Linked DNA regions of Anolis sagrei. The protein of the gene in region 3 interacts with the protein of the main gene of each other region in a biochemical or structural test. Links are inferred from orthologs where the notes say so. Each region holds a gene or a part of one and is shown on either strand. Other genes may lie near its edges.

What was found.
Region 1: the proteins of TRIM28 (region 3) and IRF1 form a complex in vitro, tested with the Homo sapiens proteins (2 studies listed by BioGRID). The link is inferred for Anolis sagrei from reciprocal best matches to the Homo sapiens genes TRIM28 and IRF1.
Region 2: the proteins of TRIM28 (region 3) and CBX1 form a complex in vitro, tested with the Homo sapiens proteins (3 studies listed by BioGRID). The link is inferred for Anolis sagrei from reciprocal best matches to the Homo sapiens genes TRIM28 and CBX1.

The regions. Positions count from the first base shown.
Region 1 is NC_090022.1:94,713,181-94,720,993, forward strand, and holds the start of IRF1 (interferon regulatory factor 1), read right to left. Parts: upstream 3,200-7,813; 5' UTR 2,946-3,199; intron 1-2,945. UniProt on the Homo sapiens protein: Transcriptional regulator which displays a remarkable functional diversity in the regulation of cellular responses.
Region 2 is NC_090026.1:33,851,728-33,859,470, reverse strand, and holds the start of CBX1 (chromobox protein homolog 1), read right to left. Parts: upstream 3,200-7,743; 5' UTR 2,932-3,199; intron 1-2,931. UniProt on the Homo sapiens protein: Component of heterochromatin. Recognizes and binds histone H3 tails methylated at 'Lys-9', leading to epigenetic repression. Interaction with lamin B receptor (LBR) can contribute to the association of the heterochromatin with the inner nuclear membrane.
Region 3 is NC_090026.1:26,897,553-26,905,900, reverse strand, and holds the start of TRIM28 (transcription intermediary factor 1-beta), read left to right. Parts: upstream 1-5,168; 5' UTR 5,169-5,372; coding exon 5,373-5,685; intron 5,686-8,348. UniProt on the Homo sapiens protein: Nuclear corepressor for KRAB domain-containing zinc finger proteins (KRAB-ZFPs).

The DNA of each region.
Region 1 (7,813 bases), on a different chromosome or scaffold from region 3:
AGCTGTTGTTTCTTTTTGATATTTCATTAGTTTGGTTTGTTGTGAGTTTTCCAGGCTGTATGGCCATATTCCAGAAGCATTCTCTCCTGATGTTTCGCCTCCATCTATGGCAGGCATCCTCAGAGGTTATGAGGTCTTTAATTAATTTGGTTTTGAATTTTCATTTATGAATGTGTTTGTCATTGAATGTTTGCTATCTTTTGTTAGAATCCTCCCTGAGTCCCCTCGGGGAGAGGGCGGAATACAGGTAAAGTTTTAATGTATTGTTGAAAACTTTCATGGCTGGAATCACTAGGTTGTGGTGAGTTTTCTGGGCTGTATGGCCATGTTCCAGAAGCATTATCTCCTGACATTTCATCTACATCTATGGAAGGCATCCTCAGAGTTGTGAGACCTCACAACAACCCAAATAAAGTTTTATTATATTGTTGTTGTTTTTCCATCTCAACTAAGTTTAGTGTATTCATTTGTTTCCTTAGTAGGTCCAATTGGTATTGGATCTTTTTGTCCTGAGGATTTATTTTAGCCTGTGTTAACATTTTTTATAATTTCTTCTTCTGTTTTGTAGTATTGTTTTCTTTTCCTGTTTTCTCTTATACCTTGCTCTATGAGTTGCCCTCTCATGTAGGCCTTACTGGCATCTCATATTATTTCTATTGGTGTATCTTTTTCTGTATTTAATTTAAAGTATTCCATTAATAATCCGCCCTGGATTAAATGGTCGTTTAACCTACATTTTCTTACTCTGTCTTTTTCTTCTATATTTTCTATTACTATTTCTATGGGAGCATGGTCTGACTTTAAGATGGAGAGTATTTTAGTTTTGGTTACTTTTGTTATTATTGTTGACACTGTGTATCAAGGGGGCAAAGCTAGGTTGGTTTCCCGTGCATGTCCTGCCATAGATGCAGGCGAAACATCAGGAGAGAATGCTTCTGGAACATGACCATACAGCCCGGAAAACTCACAACCACCCAAATAAAGTTTATTATATTATTATTGTTGTTGTTGACACCGAGGATCAAGGGGGCAAAGCTAGGTTCGTTTCCCTGAACACTTTGCCTCATTTTTACAGGTATTACTTCCTGGTCCCAACAACACAAAAAATACTTTCGCACTTCTGGGCAGTTAGTTCCTTTTGGCAGCTCTGGAAGGAGTAGAGATTATCACTCTTTGCGTGTTTAACAAATGGAATAATTGGTGCAGTTATTACAACAAGCAGGGGCCAACTTGGGCCTTCTGTCCAGATGTTTTGGACTTCACCTCCCACCATTCTTAACAGCCTCGGGCCCCCTCGAGCTTAAGCGGCTGAGGGGGAAAAGGAAAGGGCCCGAGGCTGTTAGGAATGGTGGGAGGTGAAGTCCAAAACACCTGGACAGAAGGCCCAAGTTGGCCCCTGCCTGGTCTTGTGCCTTCTCTGCCCAAAAGTGCTGTTGCCTCGCCAAACTATAACTCCCACGATTCCATAGCATTGAGCCAGGACAGCTGAAGTGAGTTCAAATGAACTGAATTCAGGAGACTTGCTGCCCGCTCCCACCATCCTCTCCCACCTTGGAAGCAACCCAGAGAGGATCCATCACAAGCGAGGCCTCTCTTTTCCATGGGGGGCTCCTGGCTCGAGGCGTGAACTTTTGATCTCCCCCCGTTTCCAAGTGTCCCAGCATCCGGTTTGCTCACGCTGGAGTAACTTCTCGGTCAGCATCTGAGCCTGAGCAACTATGGACCTCCGCCTCAAGAGCTTGGCCTCCGCTCCCCTTCTGCCGGAAACGGGCGCGACTTTTTTCTATTGCCGGGCTTTTGCCGCGCGCACCGGGGACCTGAAGAGAGAAGCCTCCCACAAGGATGGGGAGACATCCGGGCGCCCCCTGGGCAACGACAATTCTCTCACACCAGAAGCGACTTGCAGTTTCTCAAGTCGCTCCTGACACAGAAAAAAAGATTGCTTTAAAGTGACTTCCAACGGACTTGTTGGAAGAAATAGGTGCCCAGTTCACTCCGTTGCAGCGCCTTCCCCTTCGGGTGCATCTACACTGCAGGATGAATACGGTTTGGCACCACTTTACCCGCCCGTGGCTCAATGCTATGGAATCCTGCGAGCTGTCGTTGGATGAGGCGCCAGCCCTCCTTGGCACACAACCCTCCTCCTGATTGCATAGCATGGAGCCATGGGATCAAGCCGCATTCATTCCACCGTGTAGATGCATGCATGCTAAAGAAATCCTTGCAGAGCTCGAAGGGAACTCTTGTTTGTTACCCGTGCAGAGGAGAAACTTGCACCGAAGTGAAGCCAAATGCCACAAGGAAATAAATAAATAAATAAATAAATAATAATAATGTATATATATTATATATTATATTATGTATAATATATAATAAAGTATATATTTTATATTATATATTATATAATATATAATATAACACAGAATAGAATAGAATATATAATATATATAATACAATATAATATAATATAATATAATATACATCATATATATAGGTTCGAATCCGGGGAGTGGGGTGAGGTCCCGCTGTTAGCCCCAGCTTCTGCCAACCTAGCAGTTCGAAAACATGCCAATGTGAGCAGATCAATAAGCACCGCTCCGGCGGGAAGGTAACGGCGCTCCGTGCAATCATGCCGGCCACATGACCTTGGAGGTGTCTATGGACAACGCCGGCTCTTCGGCTTAGAAATGGAGATGAGCACCAACCCACAGAGTCGGACACGCCTGGACTTAATGCCAGGCGAAAACCTTAATATAATCATCATCATAAATAATAAAAGTGTGATCCAACACAACAACTATCATAGTTATCTTGTTTGCTGCGTACTAATCTTGTTGTATATCAAATAGTAATAAAATTATCATTGTTATTATTGTTGTTATTATTTTATCCCTGAAAGGAGACTCAAATCCAAATCAGAGTGCAAAGGAGTTCCTCGGACCCACCTTCTTCGCTTCTGTCGCGGATGGGCTGCACTGGCTTGCTTTCCTCCTCGCTGCAGAACAGAACCGGAGCGATGCCTGTGGCTGCACCTGATCTCTAGGCTCCTCTTTCTTTCTTTCTCCGTCCGGGTCTGGCACCTTCTGCCCGCGCTGGACCCAGGGCGGTGTGGTATATCTCCCGCAGGTCCCTGGGAATCCCCAGCCGAGGGAGCCGTGCGTGGCGTCCAATCAGCGCCGCCGAGGGGAAGGGCTGCGCCAATCAGCGCCCGGCAGGGAGTCCGCTTCGAGCGCCGCATCATTTCGGGGAAATCAGCCTGTTGTAGCACCAGAGACCGAAGGGGAAGTCCGGCTTCCCTGGCCCCGCCCCTCGGCCCGCGGCCCTGGAGCCTCGTTGGCTGGCTACTCCCGGCTGGGAGGGAGAGCCAGGGAGGGCGCATCTACACTGCAGAATGAATCCAGTTGGACACCGCTTGCACTGCCATGGCTCAGTACTTTACAGTCGTGGGAGTTGCAGTTTTGGGGAGGCAGCAGTACTTCTTGGCAGATGGGGTTCAAGTCCCCCATTACTCCATAGCAATGAAAAGGGCGCTAAACTGCATTCATTCTACAGTGCAGATGGGCTGGGACTTGGGACATCCAGTTCTAACCCATACTTACTACTTCATCGCACTAGAGAATGAACCCACTTTAAATCTGGTTGCTGCCTCCTGCAGAATTTTGGGGTTTGTAGTTTAGGGAGGAGCCTTTAACAGCCTCACTTTGGGCGCCTGTCTTCTAGGCAGCATCTACGCTGCAGAATGAATGCAGTTAGACACCACTTTAACTACCATGGCTCAATGCTATGAAATTCTAGGAGGTGTCGTTTTGCAAAGTTTTGAGCCCTCTCTTCCAAAGAGTGCTGGTGTCCTATCAAAAAAACTACAAGGAGAATCCGGTGGCGCAAAACCCTTGCGCCAGCAAGACTGCTTGACCGAAAGGCGGTTCAAATCCAGGGAGCAGGGTGAGCTCCTATCTGCCAGCTCCAGCTTCCCATGCAGGGACAAGAGAGAAGCCTTCCACAAGGAAGGTAAAACATCTGGGCGTCCCCTGGGCAACATCCTTGCAGATGGCCAATTCTCTTACACCAGAAGCGACTTGCAGTTTCTCAAGTTGCTCATCACACCCAAAAAAAACCAAACTACAGATATTATTCCACAGCCATGGCAATTTTCTATGCCATCGTTGGTAATAGGACTTACGCATCCAGAGATTTTGCAATCCATGGAGGTCCTGGAACCAAATCCCAGAACATAGGAAGGGCCCACTGTACACGCACACACAAGCATTAGGACAAATGTTTCTGGGAGCACACTGTCAGTTCTTCCAGCTCTGAAATAGCCCTTGGAATCTGCTCATGTCAGTCCACCATGCACAGGAAAAAGAAATCAGATCTCAGCAGAGATGTCTTTTGGCAGCTCCTGAGGATAGCTTTGTACAAACTTCCTGTATGCATCACAGACATTGAAACATTATTTCCCATACCTTAGTTCAGATGTGAACCAAAACAGAATCAGAAGAAGACTGAGGGCCCTTCCAGGCAGGCCCTGTATCCCAGGATCTGATCCCAGGTTTTCTGCTTTAAACTGAATTATATGAGTCTCCACTGCCAAATAATCTGGGATAAACAGAAAACGTGGGATCAGATCCTGGGATATAGGGCCTGCCTGGAAGGGCCCTGGGACCTTGACAGGCAATCATGAAGGAACTCAAGGAGGTCCTTAAGTGTAAAGATATGCGTATCAGTAAATCCCAAAGGTCAGGATCATCCAGGCCACAAACCCAATTACTATGCATATGCAAGAAAGTTGAGAAAGTTAACGCGGGGGGGGGGGGGGGGGAATTGACTTATTTGAAATGTGGTGCTGGGGAAGAGCTGTATGGATACCATGACTACTCAAAGGACAAGTGAAGGGGTCTTGGAGCAAATCATGCCTGAACAAGAAGTGAAAATTACTAAATCAAGGCTGCTATACTTTGGCCATGAGACAATATGACTCATAGAAAAGGCAATAATCTTTGATAAAGTCAAAAACAGTAGGAAAAGAGAGAAACTGCAGCACAAGTAGATCAATTTAGTCAAGGAAGACATTAACCTGAGTAAAGAATTGTTGATGACAGATTTGGAACTCTCTCTCTTCATAGGGTCTCTGTTAGTCCAAGTTAACTAGACAGCTAATAACAACAACAACAACAACCCCCCATTGGGTGCCACCTTGTCGTTGGCAGGGGGCTTAACTGCATCTATGATGCTGAGAGCTGTGCTGGTGGTAGTGTAAACTACCAGGTTCAACCAAGCCAATGTGGTCTTAAATGAACTAAGTGCACCCAACTCATTTAAATATGGTGAAACAAACTCTAAAGAAATCTATACTGGCTCAGTCATCGTCCAGGATAATAAGGACTGCGATGAGTGCTTCTCCTGGGCACCTGTTGACAAGTGGACTACAGGAACCAGGACCCACTGCTAAGCAACCTGGGCATGGGCTTGTAGAGAAACTGGAAGCAAAACAACTACAGAACTGGCAGAAATTTTATCAAACTGCAAAGACTTTGGCACAAGCCAGTAAAGGTGGTCCCAGTGGTGATTGGCGCACTGGGTGCAGTACCTAAAGACATTGGCCTGCACTTAAACACAATCGGCACTGACAAAAATTAGCATTTATCATCTGCAAAAGGCCACCCTACTCAGATCTGCACGCATTATTTGCTGATACATCACATAGTACTAGACACTTGGGAAGTGTCCGACGAGTGATCCAATCCAACAGCCAGCATAGTGACCTTGTTTGCTGTGTACTAATCTTGTTGTGTTTCTAATAATTAATAATAATAATAATAATAATAATAATAATAATTTATTTATATTCTACCCTATCTCCCCTAGAGAACTCAGGGTGGATTACAGTACACATATATGGCAAACATTCAATGGCATTATACAGTTAACAAAGACAGACAGTACACAAACAGAGGTGAAAGCTTCCCATCATTTTTGATCTCTGGCACTTGGAGGCTGTGCTCAACTCTGGCTATGGGGGTGGGGCAATATGCTGTCAGTCCATCTTCCATGCTGAGGAGCTTTGTTGCCTTTACACACTCTCCCAATTGAATTGTCGGCATGTCTACATGGGTGCCTTTTATTACCTCCCCACCAAAGTGGTACCTGTTTATCTACTCACATTACTGTTTTCAAACTGCTAGGTGAACAGAAGCTGGGCTGACAGTTGGTAGCTCACCCCAACCTGGGCTTGAACTGTTGATCTTTTGATCAGCAAGATTTTCTTGCAGCTGGTGGTTTAAGCTGCTGTGCTAAAGCCCAGCCTAATAACACCAACACATTTGGGACAGTGCTTCTCATGGTATCTGAAGTGGGGGAAAAATAGGGATTTCCCCCTTCTTAAGTGCCAGGGACTGGCACCGTAATTGTGCCCATTAGCTTCAACTGCTTCTTGCTTTCCTGGAAACTCTCCATGGCCGATGGTTTGCAGACTGGCACTGGTCCATAGACCACCACTTTGACCAGTCCTGCTTTGGTGACAACAGCAAACAGCAGAAGCAGCACAGGGGATGCTCTTCTAGATATTTGCCACATGGCAAGGCTGTAACAGTTAATCGTGTGAACCTTAACACTATGATAGCAGCTTGATATCATGACTGGGTAATGACAAGGAGCCGTGTGCTTTGGCTCTGTCCATGTGGTGGTGGACCTCAAATATGACAGTGGAGGTGCAGAAAGGAGGACTGTGGCACACAAGTTGCCCCCCAATTCCCTTGCTGCAAATCCTTTGTGTGCACCATTCCTCAAGGCATCTCCCTCACATGTTGAGGAGGAAAGTGCAGAGCTGTGGGCCACGCAGCAAATGAACATGCAGGTTCCTTTAAAGGCATGCAATTCTGCTTCTTTTGTGTCTGCGGGACTTCAGAGCTGGGTGTGACTATTATCTCAGAGACAGGAAGTCCTTGGTTACAATCTCATCACAAGTCAAGGTTAAGTCACCACTGCCTCAGCCACTCTGCACCTGCTCTGAGTAGGAGACCATGTGCTTTCCCTTGCAAAGATGGCAGTGCATTTCCAGGAATCTCCAAGTTGGTCTGGTAAAGCTTCCTGTCTCATTCCTCAGAAGACTGCTCTCACTCAGAAAAGACAATATTAAAGGGTGTTTGCACTGCACACTTACATCAGTGTGATACCATATTAATTGTCATGGCTGTCTTCAAAGGAATTGTGCAGTTTGTTGAGATACTTGAAAGGTATCATGGTACTCCGAGATGAAAGGGACTGAAGAAGAAATCACTTTGAACCCATAGCGTTGATAGGAACATGGTATTTTGGGAACTGGGATGGGAACTACACTGCCATATAATGCAGTTTAGAAGTGCATTGTACGGTCAGTGTAGATCAGTGATTCTCAACCTGTGGGTCCCCAGATATTTTGACCTTCAACTCTCAGAAAACCTAACAGCTGATAAACTGGCTGGGATTTTTAGGAGTTGTAGGCCAAAACACCTGGGGACCCACAGGTTGAGAACCACTGGTATAGACCCATATAACCCATATAATGCAGCTCAACTGGTTTGAACTGCACTATATGGGTCTGCTACACTGATCATATAATACACTTTCAAACTGCATTATATGGTTGTGTAGATACAGCCTGTGATTCAGGTGTACAAACTGAAAATCTCACCAAATTCCAGGATTCCATTGGATCGTACCATGGCAGGTATAGTGCTATAAGACACCTATGACAGTGTTAACTATACAGTTATTCTGAAATGAACATGATATGCTTTCATCATTACTGGCAATTGACACTAGATATGATATATGG
Region 2 (7,743 bases), about 7.0 Mb from region 3:
ATATTTTGCTATCTCAATATATGAAATGGCCAAGAGATTGAGCTTGAACTGTATTATATGAGTCTACGCTGACCATAAAATGCAGTTCAAACAGCATTATTTAGCAGTGTAGATCTGGTCCAACTTGAAAGGGGAAATCTTCTGGGAAGGCAGAGGAATGCCTCTCCATCACTTCCACGATACACTGTGGGAGAACCACCTCACACTATCATGGCACTTCACTTTTATTAGCTCTGTACTGGAGCAACATCCATACAACAAGCTCATCTCTCCTAATGCTCTTATTTCATTCTACCTTAAGAAAAACATTGTACACAGGGACTCTATTGCACACTTTAAAACATAATCGTAGCCTCACTCTTAAAAACATTACAGCACGTTCATCATCCCATTCCTTAACTTCGAAACAATGTCCTCTATCAAATATTAGGTGCAATACTCTGCCAACATCCCTCTCCAAATATGTATTAGGGGACACAATCCATAATCTTTGTATTTTATACAATTTAGAAAAAGAAAACTTGCTACATTTTATATATGTGGAGTTTGTTTCCAAAAGGTACCAAATCCATTTTAAAATGAATTTTAAGTGTCAGCACATTGCTGTATATGAGTAAAGATCAAAACTATCAAAATGTTAGTAAATCACTTGGGCTCTGGGCTTGGAAAATTGCATTTAACATCAAAAGAATGCATATCCTCTGCTTTTTTCCTTCAATTTCTATAAATCTTATTCAGATTGACTTACATGTAAACCTGCCTCCTGGTAACAATTCTCCACTATATTTAATGAGCACCCCTAAATTCCAGAATACATTAAAATTTAAAAACTGCCCACATACTATACATAAACACATGTGCATCCACCCCCTTGTAACAATATCAACGTAGTTCATCCCTTATCTGGAATTCTAAAATACTGTACACTAGAATCTAAAGTTGTCCACATGGCTAGCTGAGATAGTGAAATCTTTGCTTTCTGGTGATTCAATACAATAAAACTTTGTTTTGTTTTAAAATAATATAAAATCATCTTCAGCCTCTGAGCACATTTGGGCCCCATCTTCAAGATACAACTCAATGTAAAAGGTGGGCCAAAAATCACAAAGGTGTTTGATGTTTTAGTAACTTTTTGAGAAGACTTTATGTGTAATGTAATGTCCTCTATACAGGCAGACCATGAATTACAAACATCCAACTTACAAACGACTCCTAGTTAAGAACGAGGAAGTGAGAGAAATCTATCTCTATGATGGGAAATTCATTCCTGGAAGAGTTATGGTGGAAAGGTGTCTTCCCTGAACCTTTCTCACCAATCCTTTTATCCACAACAAGCCAAATTTTTCAAAACCCAATGACCAGAGACAGGAAGTGAGGCGAACAAGGGCACAGAAAGCAAAACACCACACAGGGTTGTTGTAGGATTTTTCAGGCTATATGGCCATGTTCTAGAGGCATTCTCTCCTGACGTTTTGCCTGCATCTATGGCAAGCATCCTCAGAGGTAGTAAGGTCTGTTGGAACTAGGAAAAAGAGTTGATATATCTGTGGAATTGCTAGGGTAACAACTACCATGTCAGACTACACAGAGAAGCCATTGAAATCCACAAGCATGTGGATAATTTCAACAGAAAGGAGGAAACCATGAAAATAAACAAAATATGGCTACCAGTATTAAAAAACTCTAAAATTACAACAGCACAACAGAGAGGAAACAAACAAGGACATCTAATTACCTCTCAACAAAAGATTGCCCCAGGCATTGCCAGGCCATCAAATGCTAATCAAGGTGGTCAGTTGAAACATTCACACCTAGCTCCAGCAGACAAGAATTATTTGTCCCACCCTGGTCATTCCCTTGGCAAGGTCAAGATGACAAACATTCGCTCACTTCATATAATTGTTAACTTCTACTTATTATTTCCAGATGACATGTTCCATTGGTACTTAACTTCTTTGATCTCTTAATGATTTATATATTTATCCTAACTCACGAGGCCTCTAGCCTGCTATGTTTAATCTAAAGTCAACATTTACTTTTCCAATTATTTATGGAACAAGCCACTCCGATCTTTTATTGTTCTATTGAATTTCCCTTGCTGTAGAAATCTCTCGTCAGCATTTAAGGTAAGGCTTTTTTCTGTTCATCTTAAATGCATTTTTATAATTATAATTATATTTTCTCCTAATGGCTGCCACAATTCAACTTGAGAATAAACTTATAGAACATATCTTGTTTGTAACTTGGGGGTGGCCTGCATTTATTATTATTATTGCTGTTTATTTCTACCTGCTTTTTCTCGCCACGGGCAAAGAGGGCCGAAGTTTGCCCATGCCTGCTCTACTATATATGATGCTACTGTATTGTAAATGAAAAACAACAAAAGTTAAAGAAGTTATGACACACCGAAACTCCTTTGGGACTTTGGCAAGTACTCCAAAACGCCAAACACTTCAGGCAAGGAATATTCAGCCTGATAAAAACGCCTTTTCCTACACAAAACCACACACACGCCACTTTCTCTTCACACGGGCATCACTTGCAAGCATATTTCTTCCCCTCAGATGTCTTTCCCGTGCAGCTTCTATTGTTGAGCTCCCCACCATCACACATTCACTCAAACACAATACAAAGAAGCACAAACAAAAACAGTTCACACAGGGCTGGAAACCCAGCATACTTCTCATCCGTTTCGTGAACATATTTCCCACCACTCTTTACTGTCTCCTCTCTGAGAAAAGGGTCGCTATATGGCTCCTTTCCCCGCCCCAGAAAAGCTGCCTCAGGAACCCACGCAGGGGGCTCGAGTGTTTCTCCTTCCCGCGTTTTCGCGCCCCTTCCTCCCCCCTTGGGCCCACCCCCAATATGGCCGCCCAGGCCTGAGGTGCCTCAGACGCCCCCTCCCCATCTCTCCTCACTCGGCCTCTTTACCTGAGGAAGCCCCACCAAGGAAGCGCGCGGCGAGCGGCTTCCAAACGACCACCCCAGTCGGCGCCGCCACCACCACGAAGCGGCTGCAGGCCGAGCCGAGAGCGCGCGCGGAGCGGAAACCCCTCGGACTTCAGGAACGGACGGCAAAAGAGAGAGGCCAAGAGAGCGAGCGGCGGTTCGCGCTCGATCCGCCTCCGCCAAACAAAAGAGTCCTTGCAACCCCTCTACCCGCCGAGGCGCACGGCGCATGCGCTAGCCAACTTCCGACACCCCCCTCCCTCTTCTCCCTCCCGCCCTGACACTCGCCACTCGCCCGCGGCATTCTGGGACCGGATGTGATCGCCCACCCCTTTTCCTTCGCCCCATAGATTTTTAATGAAAGACAATCCACCCACAGTTAGAGCGTCTGTTTCCGGGTTTCTTTGGGTCCTTTTCTCAATTATTAAAAACTAGCCATCTCCTGCCACGCGTTGCTGTGGCGTTACTGTGGCCCAGTCTGTGTATATGTGTGGTGTGTGTATATTTCTGTACATGTGTATATATGTGTGTTTTTAAAGTCTCATCTGCTGTGTTTTCCAGTGTTTTTATGGGTGAAACCTGAGAGGTGTTTTGTGTCCAAATTTGGTCTCAATTCGTCCAGTGGTTTTTGAGTTGTGTTCATCCCACAAACTAACATTACACTTTTATTTATATAGGTAAAGGTAAAGGTAGTCCCCTGACATTAAGTCCAGTCATGTCTGACTCTGGGGTGTGGTGCTCATCTCCATTTCTAAGCCGAAGAGCCAGCGTTGTCCGTAGACACCTCCAAGGTCATGTGGCCGGCATGACTGCATGGAGCGCCGTTACCTTCCCGCTGGAGCGGTACCTATTGATCTACTCACATTTGCATGTTTTCGAACAGCTAGGTTGGCACAAGCTAGGGCTGACAGCGGAAGCTCACACCGCTCCGCGGAATCGAACCTGCAACCTTTCGGTCAACAAGCTCAGCAGCTCAGTGCTTTAACCCACTGCGCCACCAGGGGCTCCTTTATTTATATTTGTTGCTGTTGTTCATTCGTTCAGTCGTCTCCGACTCTTCGTGACCTCTAGATTCTATTATTCTATTATTATTATTTTATTATTGTATTACTTATATTATATATTTATTATTATATTATTCTATGTTATTATTATGATATTTCTATGACCCTCTGCGCAAGCTCAGGAACAGTAGCCTAGCTTTTCAGTGCTGGATTTCTAATTATTATTATTATTATTAATGTATTTTTTTGTCTTTTTACGTCCCTTCTGCTGTGTTTTCCAGAATTTTTATGAGTGATGGTCACTCATTGGCCTGGGAGGTGTCTTGTGTCCAAATTTGGTGTCAATTTGCCCAGTGGTTTTTGAGTTCTGTTAATCCCACAAACAAACATTACATTTTTATTTATATAGATGTATTTTCTTTGGGCCCTTCCACACAGCCCTATATCCCAGAATATCAAAGCAGAAAATCCCACATTATCTGAACCCAGTTCAAAGCAGATATTGTGGGATTTTCTGTCTTAATATTCTGAGATATAGGGCTGTGTGGAAGGGCCCTGAATTCATGCTGCCATATATTCCACTTCAAAGCAGATAATGTGGGATTTTATTCAGCTGTGTGGTAGGGCCCTCAAATAAAAATTTATGAGATTGATTGAACTAAGGAGAGTCAAATTTATGCTAAATTTCCATGGTACGCTAAGAGCCCTTCCACGCAGCCCTATATCCCATAATATCAAGGCAGAAAATCCCACATTATCTGAGTGTGGACTCAGATAACCCAGTTCAAAGCAGATATTGTGGGATTTTTTGCTTTGATATTGTGATTTATATGGCTGTGTGGAAGAGCCCTCAGTTATATGAGTCCACAGTGTCATATAATCGAGTTCAAAGCAGATAATATGTGGAAGGCACCTAGGTAAAAATTTATTCTATCCTACTCTATCTCCCCTTTGGGACTCAGGGCGTCTCACAGCATAAAAGGCAAACATTCATTGCCATAAAATAATAATAATAATAATAATAATAATAATAATACTTGCTTTGTACTTCTCAAAGCACAGCAGACAAATAATCAGTACAAGAAAACTGCCCTTAAACCAGAGCTGACGGCACAACAAAGTATTGCATGGGCAATTCCTTGACAAAATTGAAGGAAACATTCACACGGGGAAGACCTGGTTATAGCTCACTAATGGAACACTGAAAAAGGAGACAGAAGTCCTGATTCTTGCAGCCCAGGAGCAAGCCATCAGAACAAATGCAATTAAGACCAGGATTGAAAAATCAGCTGATGTACCAACATGCAGACTGTGCACGGAAGCTGATGAAACCATTGATCATATCCTGAGCTGCTGCAAGAAAATTGCACAGACAGACTACAAATAGAGGCACAACTCTGTGGCCCAAATGATTCATTGGAACTTAGGCCACAAGTACCACTTGCCAGCAGTAAATAATTGGTGCAGGCCCGTAGCCAGGATTTCGTTTCGGGGGGGGGGGGGGGGGGCTAAAAATTTTTCAGGGGGGTTTCGGGGGGGGGGGGCTGAGTTTCGGGGGGGGGGGGACTGAGTCTGAGTGAAAGAGGGTCTAGCCTAGCAAACCTTTTGTATCATTACCCCAATACCCCCATACATATGGGATATATTGAGAATGGTGATCAAATCATGATATTAATAAACATAACAGTTTAAATACTGCACCAGTAAGGCCTTTTCGCGAACCACCATGAGAATTTGGGGGGGGGGGGGGGGCTACATGCCTGAATTGGTGGATCGTAAACCTGCAAAGGTAGTGGAAAATGAACACGCAAAAATACTATGGGACTTTTGAATCCAGACTGACAAAGTGCTGGAACACAATACACCAGACATCACGATTGTGGAAAATAAAAAAAAGTTTATTGATGTCGCCATTCCAGGTGATACCTGAATTCACAAAAAAACAACAGGAGAAAACTCAGCTGTCATCAGGATCTCAAAATCGAATTGCAAAGGCTCTGGCATAAACCAGTACAGGTGGTCCCAGTGGTAATTGGCACACTGGGTGCTGTGCCAAAAGATCTCAGCCTGCATTTGGAAACAATAAACATTGACAAAATCATGATCTATCAACTGCAAAATGCCACCTTACTTGGATCTGCGTGCATCATTCGAAAATACACCACACAGTTCTAGACGCTTTGGAAGTGCTCGACTTGTGATTTTGTGATACGAAATCCAGCATATATATCTCGTTTGCTGTGACATACTGTGTTTTTATGTCAGTAAAATAAAAATAAATACTACAATAAATTAAAAAAACTAATAGACAATACAGCACATTCAACAATAATACAAATCACAAGAGAAACCATAATAACAAATTAAAAACAATATTGATAAAAATTATTATTATTATTACATACATTTCTACCCTGCCCTTCTCCTCCCAAAGGGGGACTCAGGGCAGCCTCATTGTTGCAGCAGACAGCAGCCTGTCTGTTGGGATGCAAATGGGGTGGAAGAATGACACCAGGCTAGAGCAGAGTTCCAAGTTCAAAACTTTTTACTTTTCCATGGAAAAGGGTGGGAAACCTCAGCCCGCAGCTGAAACAAGGGGTTTCCACACACCTTGATTTAAACAGAGCACATATTTATATACAATTGCTTATATAACTTGTTGACATTAATTAATTATTAATGCATAGGAAAACATCTTAATCATCTGGAAAGTCAGCGTGTTCGGGTCATATCTCCTGTGACCTTGTGCTGGTCAGCAGATCTGACATATACAGGCAGTTCAAACAGGGAAAAATCAATATATATTTTATACAATATATATATCAATATATACCTCACTACCGCTGAGGATGCTTGCCATAGATGCAGGCAAAACGTCAGGAGAGAATGCCTCTAGAACATGGCCATATAGCCTGAAAATACCTACAACAACCCAATATATACTTTTCTGTTGACTTTTGTACCAAAAAGGAAAAATCAATATATATATATTTAAAACTGCCCCCACATCACATAAGCATCGTGTGATGCTGTCAACATATAAGCAACAAGGGTTACAATGAAAACAGTAAAAAATCATTAAAACATGTTATACAGGTACATTACCAAGTTCATTAAACAAAAAGCTAAGATGCCAGTTAAAACCAAGACCAAGTTGGGTAAATCCAGTCGCATATGTCCTAACTTTCCTTCCAATTGTCGCTATCCACTGGACGAACGCCTGGTCCCAAAGCCAAGTCTTCAATTGTCTTCTAAAGGACAGGAGGGAGGTGGCCATCCTGATGTGCTTAGGGAGGGAATTCCACAGACGGGGGGGGGGGGGGCATTGCTGAGAAGGCCCTGTCCCTCATCCCCACCAAACCGTGTTTGTGAGAGCGGTGGGATTGAGAGCAGGGCCTCCTCTGACGATCTTAAGCTTCGTGATGGTTCATAAAAGGAGATACAGGGTTAAAAGCCATGCCCGTATTACATTCCTATTTCATAAGGCCGGATCTTTAACCATTTCAATCTCCATAAGCCTGGGCACATAGGAAGGTTTTTATTTGGTTTGTACAGTAAAGGAGGACAGCGATGGGGCCATTCTAATTTCCTTCTGGAGGGAGTTTCAGGGGCTGGAGCAACTGCAGAGAAGGTTCTTTCTTGCCTTTTCCCCATCTCCTCATACAGATGTCAGGAATAAACAGCCCATCTGCTTCAATCCCTGTGTTTCCCAGATACACTAGACAGCCACTTCACCTAGCAACAATCAATCTGTTTCACATCCTCTTATTACATGGACAGATTAGCATCA
Region 3 (8,348 bases):
AAGTGGTGCTGCTTTAAGGCTTCTATCTGGATCCTTTGCCTTGTAAACTTTTCCCCACCCTGTGCAGTCCAAAAAAGTTCACATTTCCTAAAAGCCAGGAACAAAGCAGCTGCTTTGACTGGGAATCTTTATTATAATCACTTTCCGCCTTTCTTTTTAATCTGACGTTTGCAGTGGTTTTATGCATTTCTTTTAAATCTGATGTTTACATAAGTTTTATGGTTGGTTTTCTCCTTATTAAGCTGTTGCTATCATCTGCCTTAAAATGTTGATGAAGAGATTGCAGGATACAACTAATTTCTGTTGGAAACAAACAAGCCAACATTGGATTTGTCTCCTGGAAAGAAATGGGCTTTGTTACTCAAAGCAGAAATCTTTTTTCTTTCAATGTTTCACAGATGAACACCAGGATAGATATGATCAAGCAACATTAGACTGTGGTCAAGATAAGAATTGATAAGAGAAGCTGCAGCGGGTTACTTTTGCTTGAACATACTGGGAAGTCCAGGATCTGTGGCGCTTAGAGCAGTGTTTCTCAACCTACCTAATGCCGGAACCCCTTGATATAGTTCTTCATGTTGCAGTGACTGCCAACCATAAAATTATTTTAGTTGCTACTTCATAACTGTAATTTTGCTAGTGTTATTTATTTATTTAATTTGTTTACCGTATTTATATTCCGCCCTTCTCACCCCGCAGGGGACTCAGGGTGGATTACAATGTACACATATATGGCAAACATTCAATGCCAAAGACACACAACAGATATAGACAAACAGACAGAGGCTTTAACTTTTTCTGGCTGCCAGGGGAGCTGTTGCTTTCATCGTCCATCTGCGACACTGATGAAGTACTTCCGCATTCCCCGCATGCTTTTGCTGGAGTGCTTTGCTGGAGTCTTTTTTATAGCCTCGTAAATTTTGTTAAATTAGCCTCCTCACACATAGGTGGTACCTAATTTTCCTACTTGACAGATGCAACTGTCTTTCGGGTTGCAAAGGTTGACAACAAGCTACACAATTGGTCGGAAGCTCACTCCGACCCGGGCTGGCTTCGAACTCATGACCTTGTGGTCAGAAGTGATCTTAATGCAGCTGACACTCGGACAGCTGCGCCACAGACCCGGTTATGAATCACAATGTAAGTATCTGATATGCAGGATGTATTTTCATCCACTGGACCAAATTTGGCACAAATACCCGATACTAGGATTTACAATTCACCAACAATCAAAGAGCATTCTGAACTCCACCAATAATAGAATTGGGCCAAACTTCACACACAAAACTCCCATGTCTTGAAGGGACTCGCTAGTGCGAACCTCCCTGTAACCTCACACGCTCTCCCTCGCCCACACATGCGCACCAAACTGCCATGTGTCAAGCACACCTACTCTCGCCTCTCCATTTGGAGTCTCAGGATTAGCCCTCACATGCTTTCCCTCATCCACATATGCGCACCATGTGCCGAGCACACCTGCTATTCGCAGAGCACACCTTCTCTCCCCTCCCACTTGGAGTCTCAGAAACAACCCTCCCCTTGATTGAGAGGTCGGCTGAGAGGCTGGCAGAGGAGGGCTTTTGGTGGGATGATTCCATGTCTTTTTCCAAAAAGGAAGAGAAGGACAGGCAGAGAGATCTTCAGCCTTTTCTACAAAGAGGTTCCTAAGACCATCAGAAATATATGTTTTCTGATGGTCGTTGGCGACCCCTCTGAAACCCCCTTGCAACCCTTCAAGGGGCCCTGACCCCCAGGTTGGGAAACACTGCCTTAGAGGAAAGGAGGACAATTTGTCAAATGATGGCATTCCCCACATTAGAATTCTTCCCCTCAAATTTTCCTCCAGTCCCCAAATTTCTAGCCTTGCAGTAACATAAAACCACAGTTGATCATTTAGAAATACAGTTTAGATATCAAAAGGAAAAGGCAGGCAAAATTACTAAGAGAATGGCAGTACACAAACATAGAGTTCTAGGTAAGTATTATTTTCAGTGTCACATTCTTGCAATACTAGGAATATAGGGATTGAAGAAATATTTCTGGGGGTGGGCAGAATATTTATGGGAACAGTCTTCATTTTGTCCCCACTGCAGCTGTACTCCTACTGCATGTGTGCATGCATGTGCACAATGAGTATTGCATTTATTGGTCAGCATTTTTCTTTCCCTGTTATAAGGCTTTGCTAAACCCAGTACATAAAATTCAGGATTCCTCTGTTTAAAATAAGAGGTGTACATGTTCTTTCTCATTAATAATTCTTGCCTTCGCTTTGCTTGGTCACACTTTTTTGGTCACACTCAGATGTTCAGTCACACACATCCCAGTTTATATCTGTGAAATAGGGATGGTAGACTCTCAAATCCACTTCCTTTTCAAACAAGACAAGACAGTACAGACAATAGAATAGAATCCTGATTGGCGAAAGAAAAAAAATCAAAATAGACTCATCATGGGAACCATTCCCAATTTTCAACTGAGGTTATTATTTGCATACCATTTCAGATTGGAAGGAGGTGAAGAAGAATAGCCAGCAATGGGAAACATTTGAAACTTGAAAACTGGGGGTGGAGTTCCTCTCTTCACATTCCACATTTGAAATAAAACAATGTTGTTAACGGCATTGTTTTCCCCAGGTGTGCAATCAATCAATCTCTCTCTCTCCCTTTTCACCAAGTGCTGGGTGAAATGCTTGCCTTTGCAGCTCCTGCCATTTTACTCTCTTCATACCCTTTCTACAGCTTTGTGCTAATTTGACACCAGACATTAAGAACTCAGCTGTTGGCTCATGCCTCTGTTCATTTTGTTTTGCAGGATTTTAATTTTGGAAGTCAGCTCCTCCTGATGTTCACATTGTTCACTCTCTTGTATGAAAGACTTGAAAGCTCAGAGGTCTTGGGAACATTTTGGAAGAATGGACAAAGGTTTAAGATGTCTGTGGTTGGTTTAAACTGTTTTACTGTATTTTAGCAGATATCCATTGACCCATAGAACCCAGTTTAGAAGAGCCGATGCAAGGCAGCACAAGCCAGGCTTCAAAGCAGCAATACCATTAAATGCTAATCAAGGTGGCGATTTGCAACATTCACACTTGCCTCAAGCAGACAAGGGTTGTTTCTCCCACCCTGGACATTCCACAGATATATAAACGTCACTTGTCTTGTTTCCAACAGACCTCGAAACCTCTGAGGATGCCTGCCATAGATGTGGGTGAAACATCAGGAAAGAATGTTTCTGGAACTTGGCCATACAGCCCAGAAAACTCAAAAACTCCCTTTGGGGAGATGGTGGCGGGGTATAAATAAAGCTTATTTATTTATTTATTTACGGCATTTATATGCCGCCCTTCTCACCCCGAAGGGGACTCAGAGCGGCTTACAATATATATTTTCATACAATATATTATATTATTAGCATAGTACAATATCAGTATATATTACTACATTGCACTATACCATTATATTGTAATATTATTAGTAATATTACATGTAATGTAAATATATTATAATTATAATATTGAATTATTATTACTAGTGTTATATTGTATTACATTATAATATTATAAATATTATATGTATATATACTATACTATATTATATTATTAGTAAAGACAAGATGGAAGTGTCTTCTGCTCCCTTCTGTCTTTGCTCTGGCCAGACTTGGTGCCAGCTTATTGTTGTTATTATTAATTATGCGGAGCCCCCGGTGGCGCAGTGGGTTAAACCCCTGTGCTGGCAGGACTGAAGACCAACAGGTCGCAGGTTCGAATCCGGGGAGAGGCGGATGAGCTCCCTCTATCAGCTCCAGCTCCTCATGTGGGGACATGAGGTCTAACCGCTTTGGTTAGACCACACCTGGAATATTGTGTCCAATTCTGGGCACCACAATTCAAGAGAGATATTGACAAGCTGGAATGTGTCCAGAGGAGGGCGACTAAAATGATCAAAGGTCTGGAGAACAAGCCCTACGAGGAGCGGCTTAGGGAACTGGGCATGTTTAGCCTGAAGAAGAGAAGGCTGAGAGGAGATATGATAGCCATGTATAAATATGTGAGAGGAAGCCACAGAGAGGAGGGAGCAAGCTTGTTTTCTGCTTCCTTGCAGACTAGGACGCGGAACAATGGCTTCAAACTACAAGAGAGGAGATTCCATCTGAACATGAGGAAGAACTTCCTGACTGTGAGAGCTGTTCAGCAGTGGAACTCTCTGCCCCGGAGTGTGGTGGAGGCTCCTTCTTTGGAAGCTTTTAAGCAGAGGCTGGATGGCCATCTGTCAGGGGTGATTTGAATGCAATATTCCTGCTTCTTGGCAGGGGGTTGGACTGGATGGCCCATGAGGTCTCTTCCAACTCTTTGATTCTATGATTCTATGACATGAGAGAAGCCTCTCACAAGGATGATAAAAACATCAAATCATCCAGGCGTCCCCTGGGCAACGTCCTTGCAGACGGCCAATTCTCTCACACCAGAAGCGACTTGCTCCTGACACGACAAAAATAATAATAATAATATTGTATTTACATATTACTTGTAAGCCGTTCTGAGCCCCCTTCGGGGTGAGAAGGGCGGCATATAAATCTCGTAAATAAATAAATAATACTGCCATATAATCCAGATTATCAAATCAAATAATCTGCTTTGAACTGGATTACCTGAGTCTACACAGCCATATAATCCACTTCAAAGCAGACCATGCGGATTTTATATAGCAGTGAGCAGATCCAGCCTATGCACCGGCCATTTAATAATGCTTGGAGGAAAGCTCCTCTGATCTTCCAACATGGAGGATACAACAAAAGAGAGGAATTGGTCCATCTCATCCAGGGACACCTTTACTTTGCTTTATCCATGGCCTTTGCTGTCTCCTTTTGGCCCAACTCCTCCACAGACTGGTTGCTATGGTTACAATCTCTTAACCCCCCCCCCCCCCCTTTTTTTTCCTCCTTACATCCTGCCTTCAAAGAGCGGCTTGACATTTTTTTTCCCCTAGTCCCGCTTTGTTCCAATTGGACCCGTGCCGGAGCGAAGAGGGATTTGATTGGACCATTTATCTCATTTCCCGACGGCCAATGGATGCCAAACCCATCCTTCATTGTTTTGAGAGACACTGATTGGTTAAGGGAAGGAAAGTCCCGCCTTTAGAACGACCGAACGTTGCCTGGGCTCGATGTACCCGCCATTCATTGCGGCGAGTGGGCGGGGCTGCAGGAGAGCGAGAGAAAGAGAGGAGGCGGCGGCGGTGGTGGTGGAGAAACGAGGCCTAGAGTAGCGGGCCGACCTTCCATTCCAATCCCATTCCTAGAGAAGACAGGCCGCCCGGAAGGCCCTTATCACCCTCCGCCTTTCCTTTCGCAGCAGCCGCAGCCACCCCTTGATCATGTCGGCCTCTGCCACGGCCCCTGCTCCGGCGGAGACTGGAGGCGGTGGCGGAGGAGGACCCGCCACTGGGGAGAAGCAGCCGCGCTCCTCCGCCGCCTCTTCCTCCGCCGCCTCGGCCTCTGCCTCCTCCTCCGCCGCCGCGGGCGCCCCGCTCAACGTGGAAGGCCTCGACCTACTGGAGAAGTGCGCCGTCTGCAGGGAGAAACTCCGCTCCGAGCGGGACCCAAGGCTCCTGCCCTGCCTCCACAGCGTCTGCAAGGAGTGCGTCAAAGTCGAGCCCGCCGGCGGAGGAAACAACAAGGAAGGGCAAGGTGAGCTGCAGGTGTCCTCCTAGTCACCGCCCTCTTTCTTATCTATGGGCCAATTTGGGCCTTGCAGGTGCTTTGGACTTCAACTCCCACCATTCCTCACAGCCTCAGGCCGCTTCTTTTTCCCCCTCAGGCTGAGGGGGAAAAAGAAGCGGCCTGAGGCTGTGAGGAATGGTGGGAGTTGAAGTCCAAAGCACCTGCAAGGCCCAAGTTGCCCCCAGGCCCTTCCACACAGCCATATAACCATATATCAAACCATTATCCCCTCCTTCCACAATATCTGCTTTGAGCTAAGTTATCTTGAGTCCACACTGCCACATAATCCAGCTCAAATGTGGATTTTATACAGCCCTGTGGAAGGAGGGGCCTAAGATACTCAAGGAGGGAAAGCCCCTCCATTAGTGAGGGAATTAGGCCTAAGGAGAGAATTATTCTATCATCTTGGCGAGAGAAATAAACAGAGGAATTACTATAATTATATTTATACCTTGCTTTCTTGAAAGAGAAAGACAAGCCTTAATATTATTCTATCTTATTGGTGATGGGAATAAACCCAAGGATTTACTATTGCTGATTATATTTATACCTTGCTTTCTTGAAAGAGAAAGGCACCCTTCTCGTTTTGTAAAAGAAATAAACCCAAGGAATTACTATTGCTAATTATATTTATACCTTGCTTTCTTGAAAGAGAAAGACACCCTTTATATTATTCTATCTTCTTGGTGAGAGGAATAAACCCAAGGAATTACTATTGCTAATTATATTTATACCTTGCTTTCTTGAAAGAGAAAGGCACCCTTCTCGCTTCGTAAAAGAAATCTGAGAAATAATTGTATTATTATAGTTCTACCTCTTGGAAGAGAAGAAAAGCCTTCTCGTTTTATGAAAGAGGCGGATATAAATATAATTATTATATCTTCTCTTGAAAGAGAAGGAAATTCTTGTTTTGTGGAATAAACCTTAGAGAATTATATTATTATCTATTTATACCTCATATTTCTTGAAAGGAAACACTCCTCACTTTGAAAGAAACCTATGAGAATGTTGTTATTATTCCACGTTTTCTTTTGATAGAGAAGCCTCGTTTTGTGAAAGAAGCCTCTATTATTATTATGATTATTATTATTTAGCAAATAATTTTTATTAAATTATTTTTATTATGATTATTATGATTATTATTATTATATCTCACTTTTGTCTCTTGAAAGAGAAGGGAAACCCTTCTCGTTTTGGGGAATAAACCTTAGAGAATTATATTATTATATATTTATACCTCATTTTCTTTTCTTGAAAGAGAAGGAAATCCTCCTCACTTTGAAAGAAACCTAAGAGAATGTTGTTGTTGTTGTTATATTATTATTATACCACGTTTTCTTCTCTTGAAAAAGAGAAGCCTCATTTTTTGAAAGAAGCCATTATTATTATTATTATTATTATTCCTCACTTTCATCTCTTGAAAGAGAAGGAAACCCTTCTCGTTTTGGGGAATAAACCTTAGAGAATTATTATTATTATTATTATATATTTATACCTCATTTTCTTTTCTTGAAAGAGAAGGAAACCCTCCTCACTTTGAAAGAAACTTAAGATAATGTTGTAATATCATTCCACATTTTCGTTTTGTGAAAGAAGCATATTATTATTATTATACCTCGTTTTCGTCCCTTGAAAGAGAAGGAAACCCTTCTCGCTTTATGAAATTAACCTAAGAGAATTATATTGCTATTGTTTTTATATATTTCTCAGGTTTCTTTCACAAAAAATGAAGGGTTTCCTCAAGCGAAGCCAGCGAAGTATAAATATATAATTAATAATACCACTAATATAATTTTCTCAAGTTTCTTTCACAAAACTATGAGTTTCCTTCTCTTTCAAAAGAATAAATCAAGGTATAAATGTATAATAATATAATTCTCCAGTTTCTTTCACAAAATGAGAAGATTCCTTTTCTTTCAAGAGAAGAAAGAGAGTTATAAATATAATACAATTATTCTCAGGTTTCTTTCACAAAACAAGAAGAGTATCCTTCTCTTTCAAGAGAAGCAATTTAGGCATATATAGTAATAATGGTAATAATATAATCTCGAGTTTCCTTCTCTTTCAAGAGAAGAAAGCGGGGCATAATAATAATAATAATAATAATAATATTCTCAAGTTCCCTTGACAAAGAGAGAAGGCTTTCCTTCTCTTTCAAGAGAAGCAAGTGAGGAATAGTACTAGTAGTACAGGCTTCTTTCACAAAATGGGAAGGCTTTCCTTCTCTTTCAAGAGAAGAAAATGAGGTATAAATATAATCATCATCATTTTCTCAGGTTTTCTTTCACAAAATGAGAAGTTTCCTTTTCTTTCATGAAAACGAGGGATAATTATATTTATACATCGCTTTCTTGAAAGAGAACACTTCTTGTTTTGTGAAAGAAACTTGAGATTACTATTACTATTATTATTATTATATCTTGTCTTGAAAGAGGACACCCTTCCTGTTTTGTGAAAGAGAATTATTTTTTGGATTTATACCTCGCTTTCTTGAAAGAGAACTCTTTTCGTTTTGTGAAAGAAACTTGAGAATATTACTACTATTATATCTTTCTTGTCTTGAAAGAGAAAGAACCCCTTGCTGTTTTGTGAAAGAGAATTATTTTTTGTATTTATACCTCGCTTTCCTC